2 linked regions of the Danio rerio genome follow. The protein of the gene in region 2 purifies or fractionates together with the protein of the main gene of each other region. This does not show direct contact. Links are inferred from orthologs where the notes say so. Each region holds a gene or a part of one and is shown on either strand. Other genes may lie near its edges.

The links.
Region 1: the proteins of retreg1 (region 2) and map1lc3a purify together in Homo sapiens (affinity purification with western blotting; 3 studies listed by BioGRID and IntAct, with this or other methods). This does not show direct contact. The link is inferred for Danio rerio from reciprocal best matches to the Homo sapiens genes RETREG1 and MAP1LC3A.

What each region holds. Positions count from the first base shown.
Region 1 is NC_133186.1:28,685,968-28,690,487, forward strand, and holds the start of map1lc3a (microtubule-associated proteins 1A/1B light chain 3A), read left to right. Parts: upstream 1-1,587; 5' UTR 1,588-1,668; coding exon 1,669-1,708; intron 1,709-3,356; coding exon 3,357-3,412; intron 3,413-4,520. Other genes in the region: dynlrb1 (dynein light chain roadblock-type 1), read left to right, coding at 743-786. UniProt on the Homo sapiens protein: Ubiquitin-like modifier involved in formation of autophagosomal vacuoles (autophagosomes). While LC3s are involved in elongation of the phagophore membrane, the GABARAP/GATE-16 subfamily is essential for a later stage in autophagosome maturation.
Region 2 is NC_133177.1:34,753,139-34,756,970, forward strand, and holds part of retreg1 (reticulophagy regulator 1), read right to left. Parts: intron 3,396-3,832; coding exon 3,269-3,395; intron 2,399-3,268; coding exon 2,314-2,398; intron 1,879-2,313; coding exon 1,756-1,878; intron 623-1,755; coding exon 552-622; intron 466-551; coding exon 342-465; intron 1-341. UniProt on the Homo sapiens protein: Endoplasmic reticulum (ER)-anchored autophagy regulator which mediates ER delivery into lysosomes through sequestration into autophagosomes.

The sequences.
Region 1 (4,520 bases), on a different chromosome or scaffold from region 2:
AAAATTTAATAAGTAATATATTTTCATTACCTTAAGGCTTGAACCATATCTGATCTAGTAACAACCCTGATTTAGATCGATTTACATACTAATAAAATTTTAAATGTTATTTGGAAAAATGTAGTTTTGTTTTAGCAGTATATTATTCTTTTTTATATTACTCATTGTAATGCTATGTGTTTGTTTATTTAACACTTACTTATATGAATACTTTATTTTAAAATAATTATCCAGCTGCTATTTATTTATTTTTGCAAATTTAACAAGTTATTATTAAATTGTATGTATTAGCCTTATTCTTAATACAATGTTAGGCTTATTTTAATACAAAAGTATTAATTACTTTTATTTATTGATATATATGTTTTATTTAAGCCTTTTCTCTGAACATTTCACTGAATGGGTCCCCCGGACCTTATTTTGAAAAGCCCTGATTTAGGGTAAAGTCTAGATAGAAATAGGATACACTGCTGGCTAGAAGTGCGATATGCACATCAATATAGCAGCAATTTTAATGACACTGTATAACAATAATTAATATTTTTACATTACTGTTTACAGGTTTAGAGTTAGGGTAGGGGTTGATGTTTTGTTATAAATGCCATAATGTTGTACATTCAAGTCTATCTTTACAAAAACCAATTTGCGTGTTGTATTATTCTGTAATGTGCTATATAAATCTGATATCAACTAATTGTAATGATCAGAAATTAATCATATATTTACTCTGTTTTCTCCACAGACAAGGACTATTTCCTGATCGTCATTCAAAATCCCACAGAGTAGTCCTTCTAAGTACTTCTGAAGTATTTTTTTTTCTGTAATTACAGGCCAAAAGTGTTTCATTTAATGTTTCAGTGAGGTTTATATAGTACTATTAACCACATAACATTACAGGAAGTTGCTTCTTATCCTATTATAAAAATATGGTTTGTACTGCTCTTGCTTATCATTCCAATAGTTTGCCATATACTTAATTTATTGTTTTCTCATTCTCATTTTTGCAAGTACTCCAAACTGTTCATCATCAAAAAGCAAAAACATGACACTATTACATACTGTACTTGTTTGTGAATGCTAACAGGACAATAAAACAACAATGTATTTCCTTTTATTACTTTTTGTGGCTGTGTGTATTCATATTGAATGGAAAAGGTGCTTTGTTTTTTGCCATAATATAAATTTAGTTTAGGTTTATATAGAGAATTGAAAATGATTTCATGTTTAAAATAATTCTTGTAAATGGCTGCAAAAACCTGTTTGAATTTAAATTGATCGCAAAAGAAGAAAATATTTTTTAGAAATGTTGAAAACTCTTGACTTAATTTTGCATTTTTCCCCACTACAATGGATATCAATGGTTACCGGATTCCAACATTCTTCAAAATATCTTCTATTTCATTTAATAGGAAATATTAACCCATAATAGTCTAAAACCAGTTGAGGTTAAGCAAATGCTGAGTAAATGTTTAGTTTTGGTTAAACTATTCATTTAAAGAGGACTCTGTCTCTTTAAATCTGATGACGTCACGAGCTTTAGTATATTGTCTCGAGCTGTTTTGCTTACAGTGAGTCAGGAGCTCGAAAAGAAGCCGAGTCGACCGACAATTCAGCATATAATAACACGCAAACCCTTTAAACTACTTTTAACCACATTCAAGCACAGTTATGCCATCCGACAGACCCTTCAAACAACGACGGAGCTTCGGTAAGATGAGTTTTATTCGTGCCTTGTCAGCCGAAGTGTATTTGTTTATCAGGTTTGTTTTTGTCCCTAGCCTGCTAGCAACTGCGTGACACACTGTTTACATTCCTCTACAAAGCTCTAAATGCTTATGAGACGATTATAGAAATAAATATTAAAGTCTAAATGACAGTTTTTAACAAAAACCGACAGAGGTCAGTTGCTAAACAGTAAGCTAGCTTGGGCTTTTTTATAGGCCTTGTGTTTAAATTTTATCAGCTTTATTTTTTTTACAACTGTTGTGTTTGTAAATACGTATATAACCTTATATTTAACTTTTTACTTAGAAACATAGATGAATGACATATAGTTACAGATATGTAGCTAGATAAATGTGTTGTTTACCAGCTTTGTGAAAATGTGAGATCAACATTTCTTTTTTTTGACAGTAGTGTTTTTCTGTTACATTTGGTGTAAATGATGCATTTATATATTTAGAATATTTATTGTTTGACAATAACATTGAAGGAAAGGATGGACTGTACACGTGCTGTTGATATGATGCTGTAATATGAGCTCTTTCTCATAGTCCAGACTGTGGACAGGGTGTGGGGAGGGAGGAGCATAAAACCCTTGCATAATCTTCCTAAACATAACAAGTGCAACATAGATTTGCTGTTTCAAACACATCTGTAAGAGTCCGGGTCAATATGATCTGCATACAGTCTTATATTTGTCCAGCCTTTGGGATTATACAATTGACACGGATGACCCAGACATGACATCAGTAAAAATGACACACAAGTTAGGAAGCTTACCCTGATAAGCAAGCTGGATTTTTTTTAGTTTTACTTTGAAATATACTTGCAGTGGTAGCCAGAATGAAACACAAGTTACCCACATCATCACTTAAATAGATATTGATTTTCGACAAACAAAACATAAGTTAATTTTTACAATTTTATTTATTATGACATTGTTATACAGTTTCTTTTCAATGGCTTAAAGTAAAAAGACTGTTGAAAAAAATCCACTATTTCTCTTACTTTTATACTATTCAGGAGCCATTTGCACCCTCTGACAGGTAAAATCTGCTTCTTTCACTCCAAGTTCAAAGCAAACTCGAATGCCAAAGCATTTTAGAAATGTATAGAAAATAGCCTATGTAATATATTAACATAAATTAATAAAATAATCAGCAGATGAGAAATAAATGATAGAAAAGGAATAAAAACAGACAATGTCTCTAAAAATGCAAATCTTGTAAATTTTAATTACAAGATTAAAACGTGTAGTTTATTTAAATAATGCAAATGCGTTGATTAACCATTGTTGAGCTTTCAGAGTGATAACAAAAGATATTAAACCTTTTAACAGAAATTAATGTTTGTTTGTCTGTTATACTGTACATTATGGTGGAATAGGTTTGTAGAGTAGGGCATGTCAAACAACACATCCGCAATTATTTTTCCTCAAGTTTTTAGGAATGTTTATTGAGCGTTTCTGCTAAACAGGTTTGACATAAGCAAATTCAGCAAATGCTAATGCAGTGATTACAGTGTTTTCAGGAATGAGTCTTGAAAATATACTTACTGTGTATTTTGAATTTGGACTGTAAAATGTATATTATTCAGAAGTGTACCAAATTTCTGTTTGTTTTTTGTCTTTTCAGCTGATCGTTGCAAGGAAGTGCAGCAGATACGAGAGCAGCATCCTAATAAAATTCCGGTGAGAAACTAGTTTTGTTTTATGCAAGTGTCATAAATGAATTTAGACTTATTGCTTTAGCCTTATTGCTTTCAAGATGTCACTTACCTGTCAGCTCCGGATTTCTTTTAAGATCCTGAAATTTATTACTCTAAAACAATGGGCTTCAACTTCTATGAGGGCCTTGGGGTGACTTAGAATTATTGAAAAAGAAAAGATGAAGCTAAAGCAGTTAGAAATACTGCATTTATTTAACAAAGCATCAATCATTTTAAAGTGTGATTTCTAGACCTTGGAAATATAAAAATAAGTAATATTAAAATACATTGTTCTATGTATCCACAGCTCTAAACCATTATATGAATATATCAAAATATATTAGGAAATAATCTTAATTTTTTATTGTAATCTTTATCTTTAGTGAAATATATTAGGAAATATATTTCAAAGACAAGACATTCCATTCTGTCATCTGCATCAAATTCAGTATAAGTGATTTTTATATACAGTTCTCTCCCCAGTTTGAAAATTTTTGGAGGCGAAATTTTTTTCCCCATTTCTCGGTGCATATGGATAATATATATTGGTGCATTTGATCAAAACCGATAATTAAACAGATATTTTTATTAAAAATAATATTTCAGTCACAGAACATATTTAGAAATGAAAAGATAATATATTTAAATTAATGCAAAATATTGCAAAAAAAAATTACAAACTACAACATTTCAACAAAATTGTATATATTTTTTGTAAAAGTTCCTAAGGCTCCTATGGCTTCAGTACTGAATAAACTAATGTATATGCACAAATAAAATATTGTACAGTATCCTATAGAAAATATTAATTGAAATCAGACATTTGTGGGGGGTGTACTCGTATATGCTGAGCACTGTACATAAAAAGCATAGTAACTTTCTACTTTAATGTTCTACTTTAACATTTTGACATTATATGCTAAATGATTAGAAAATATTGATCTATAATCATTTAGCATATAATGTAAAAATGCAATGGCAGCAGCTGGCTTTATTGTAATAAAATGTATAAAAGAATAGGTGATCATACTAAAACTGCACTAAAATGATTAAAAAGAACATTTTAATGTCATGATCAAATTATTCTTGTT
Region 2 (3,832 bases):
TTTATTAATCGCCACAGTGGAATGAACCGCCAACTTATCCAGCATGTTTTTACGCAGCGGATGCCCTTCCAATCACAACCCATTTCTGGGAAACATCCATCCACACACACTCATTCACACTCATACACTATGGACAATTTAGCCTACCCAATTCACCTTTACCGCATGTCTTCAGACTGTTGGGGAAACCTATGCGAACGAAGAAAAAACATGCAAACTGCACACAAACACAAACTGACCCAGCCGAGCCTCAAACCAGCGACCTTCTTGATGTGAGGTGACAGCACTACCTACTGTGCCACTGCGTCCTATATGTATATTACTAAGATTTTAAAAAATACCGTCAGAGTTCTCTGTTTGAGGTGTGTGTCCCTCTGAAAGGTTGAAAGTGCCGTTGTCTGTCCACGTGACTTCAGAGACCTCTGTGTCTGATAAGGACAGCTCTTTGCACACAGTGGAGTCCATCTGCAACAGATCGGTTCACAGGAAATGGACATATGAATATTATATCATTAAACCCTTTGTCTTCAGTTGTGTGACAGTGTGCTGACCTTGGGGAAAAGTGCAGACAGATCTGCTTCGATGCACTCTCTCTCGGTTTGTGACTGGAGTATCCTTTTCTCTGCAGAAAGAGAGTAAGTGTGAAGATGTTCATGTTTGCTATGTTCAAGTTGTTTGTAGTAGCACATTGTTAGCTTAGCAACATGTTAATGCTAAACCTAAGACTCAAAGTTGATTCATACATTTGAAGTAATGTATAGTGGGAAAAGATGCTCCCTATAGGTTTATAGGTTACCTTAGGAATTACTTTCCATGCAATATTATTTTAGTATTATTTATATACTTACTTAGTATATATAATAATACTTAAAGGGTTAGTTCACCCAAAACTGAAAATGACCTCATCGTTTACTGAAGATATTTTAAAGAATGCTGGTCGCTGAAACCCATCGACTAACATGGTGGGGGTGGGAGATGGAGGGGATACTATGAAAGTCATTTGGTCCCAGTAACCAGCATTCTTCAAAACATCTTAATTTGTGATTTGTTTTGAACAAGTGAAGGGTGAATAGCTGATGACAGAATTTAGTTTTTTAGGTGAACTGTCCCTTTAAAAATGTACTATTAATAATCAAGTAATTTGATTTAGCTTTATTTTAATCTCAGTTTTAGGTTTATTTTACTGCTTCAATCATTTTATTTCAGATACCTGTATAGTATTTTTGAATTTTGTCTTAAACCTAAATAAATGTATTATGTGTACCCTTATGTTATTCCAAGCTTACATGACTTACGTTCATCTTTTGTTCAAAACTATGTGAAAGTAATCCTGTTGCTACAGTGGATTAATTCCAATTTTATGAAGTGATGCAAAAGCTCTAACATGCATCAATAATTTAAAAATTAACTTTATATATAATAATATCTTTAATCCTTGCATTCTGGAAATGTAAAAAAATTGGCATTAATCATTTAGTAACAGAGTAACACAGACTACTATTATGGGTTTTTTTTCCCTAGTTTTAAAGCTTAAAACATTTGGGTGAATAGAGTATCAATGATTTATAGGGGTTTTAAGTACCAAAAGCTAAAAAGTTGAAAGCTTTCCAAGAACGTTAGGATTAGGAACAGAGTCTGTCCGGTGAGGCATTTGTTTTGGGCTACATAAATCAAAAACAGCACATCCAAGGGAGAAACTATATAAATTTAAAAATGTAAAGTCAATTTTGTATAGTGAGTGTATTTGGGATTTACCGTGATTCTCCTTTATTTTCTGAAAAAACTCGGCCACTCCAAAGTCCAGTTTCTGCAGAACTGGTTCCAACCACATCCCGAACTCATGTGACGACACCAAAGGCCAGAGAAAAATACCCAGCACTGCGGTAAACAGATGTGTAAACTATTAATGTAAGGCTCACACTTACGAACCTGCTGACTGCCAGGAAGAAAAAGAAACCAGAGACTGAGTGTGAATGTGAATGTCGTCACAGTGACATTACTAAGAATCCACTACCACATGACGAATGGGCTGTGCTGGAGGTAAATCCGGAGGGGGTTTGCTCTCCTTGGCCAGTAGCAGCATGGTTACATTCATTTTGGATGTATTTTGAATGTATTTTAAATGAATTCAACTCTGAAATCTGGACTTTACTAGAACTTTTATGTTAAGCGGCTTCGACACAATCTACATTGTAAAGGTGCTTTCTAATTAAACCTAAATTGAATTGAATTTGTAAAGAAATGTCAGTGAAAAAATAAGACAAAATAACTATTATTATCATTATATGTTTAGGATCTTTTTTTGGTACTTACCTAAAATGTATGAAATAACAACCCCTGGTACGTAACGTCCAAGTATTGCTAGAAAAGAGCACATACTGCAAACCAGCAGACAAAACTGCAAATGAGACACAAATTTAAAATGGCTCAGTTCACTGTAAATTAATCACTGTGTGAAATAATAAATACATGCAATGGGAAATACTAAACTTAAATGATTATAAACACAGCTGCTAAAAAGCCTACATTAAAATTACATGGCATACTTGTAATATTTCTCATTAAATTACTATATAAAACATGAACTCATTAACGGCCTCTAATTGAAATACTCATTGGAAAACTATGGAGTGCAACTGGGGGTTATTACAGGACACTTAAATGTTTATGACTTTGTCATATTTTTATTTTATTTAAAAATTATATTTTTATAAATTTTGATGAAGTTACACATAGGGTTCAACATTAAAACTATACAAATCTTTAAAATAATTAATAATGGTTAGAAATTATTTATAAAATTTAATAAAAAATAGAAATATACCATTAATTACTTTATTATGTTGTCCTTACATTTATTTGTCTTATTATTCTTTTATTTTTCATATTTGTATTTTCTTATTACACAATCATTTATGTGTTATTATTGTTTATGATTTGGTTTTGTGATTCATTTTTGGACTATGTTGCAATGTCTTTAAAATTAGCTTTTAATTGGTTGTATTTTTGAAAGCACATTGTACATTCATCTTGAAAATTTTGAATAAACACGACACAAAAAAAACATGAATTACTGCAAGAATTACACTGCAAAGTGATTACATGTAAAATAGTGAAGGCAAAATGATGATTACAAATAATTAAAAAATTGTAAAAGAAATGAGGACTTGTTAGGTATGTAGTTCTCCTTCTACAGTTTTAATACAATTTTTAAGTTGATGTAAAAAAGAAGACATGTTAGGAATCATCTACTCAAATCTATCCATACCTTGCCTGGATTCTGCTGTTTAAAAGAGGATGTCTCCTCAATGAACAACTTGAGACTCGTCCAGAAGTCTGTGAATGGAGATCCTGATGCAGACTTGCCCTCCTGGACAGAATCAATGATCTCCCAGCTACAGTTAAAAAGATCAATCGTTAGTCTGACCCTGTCAGAAAAATGTGTTCACTACACTTCTTTAACTATCACTTTAAACTCATGCACTGCCATATTGTAGTGTATTATATTAACCTTTTGGATGATTTGCCTGTGTTGTCAGTTAAACATGTTCAGCACATAACCAGTTCAGTAAATTACCAGAAATGAAACCACATTCAACAACCAAAATAACGCCTAAAAAATTTAGGTAGTGCATTAAAAAAATTATAAATCTATAATGCACACAAAATTTGAAAAGTTATTAATGAAACAGGTCAAATTGTATATTTTGTGGCTCATGCATGCATGGGGCATGAAACCACAGGGAACACTGCATTGTTTTACTCAACATAATTTATCAATCTTACTAAAAATGCAAATACAAACAAACTGACTAAACATATTAAGGTAAAC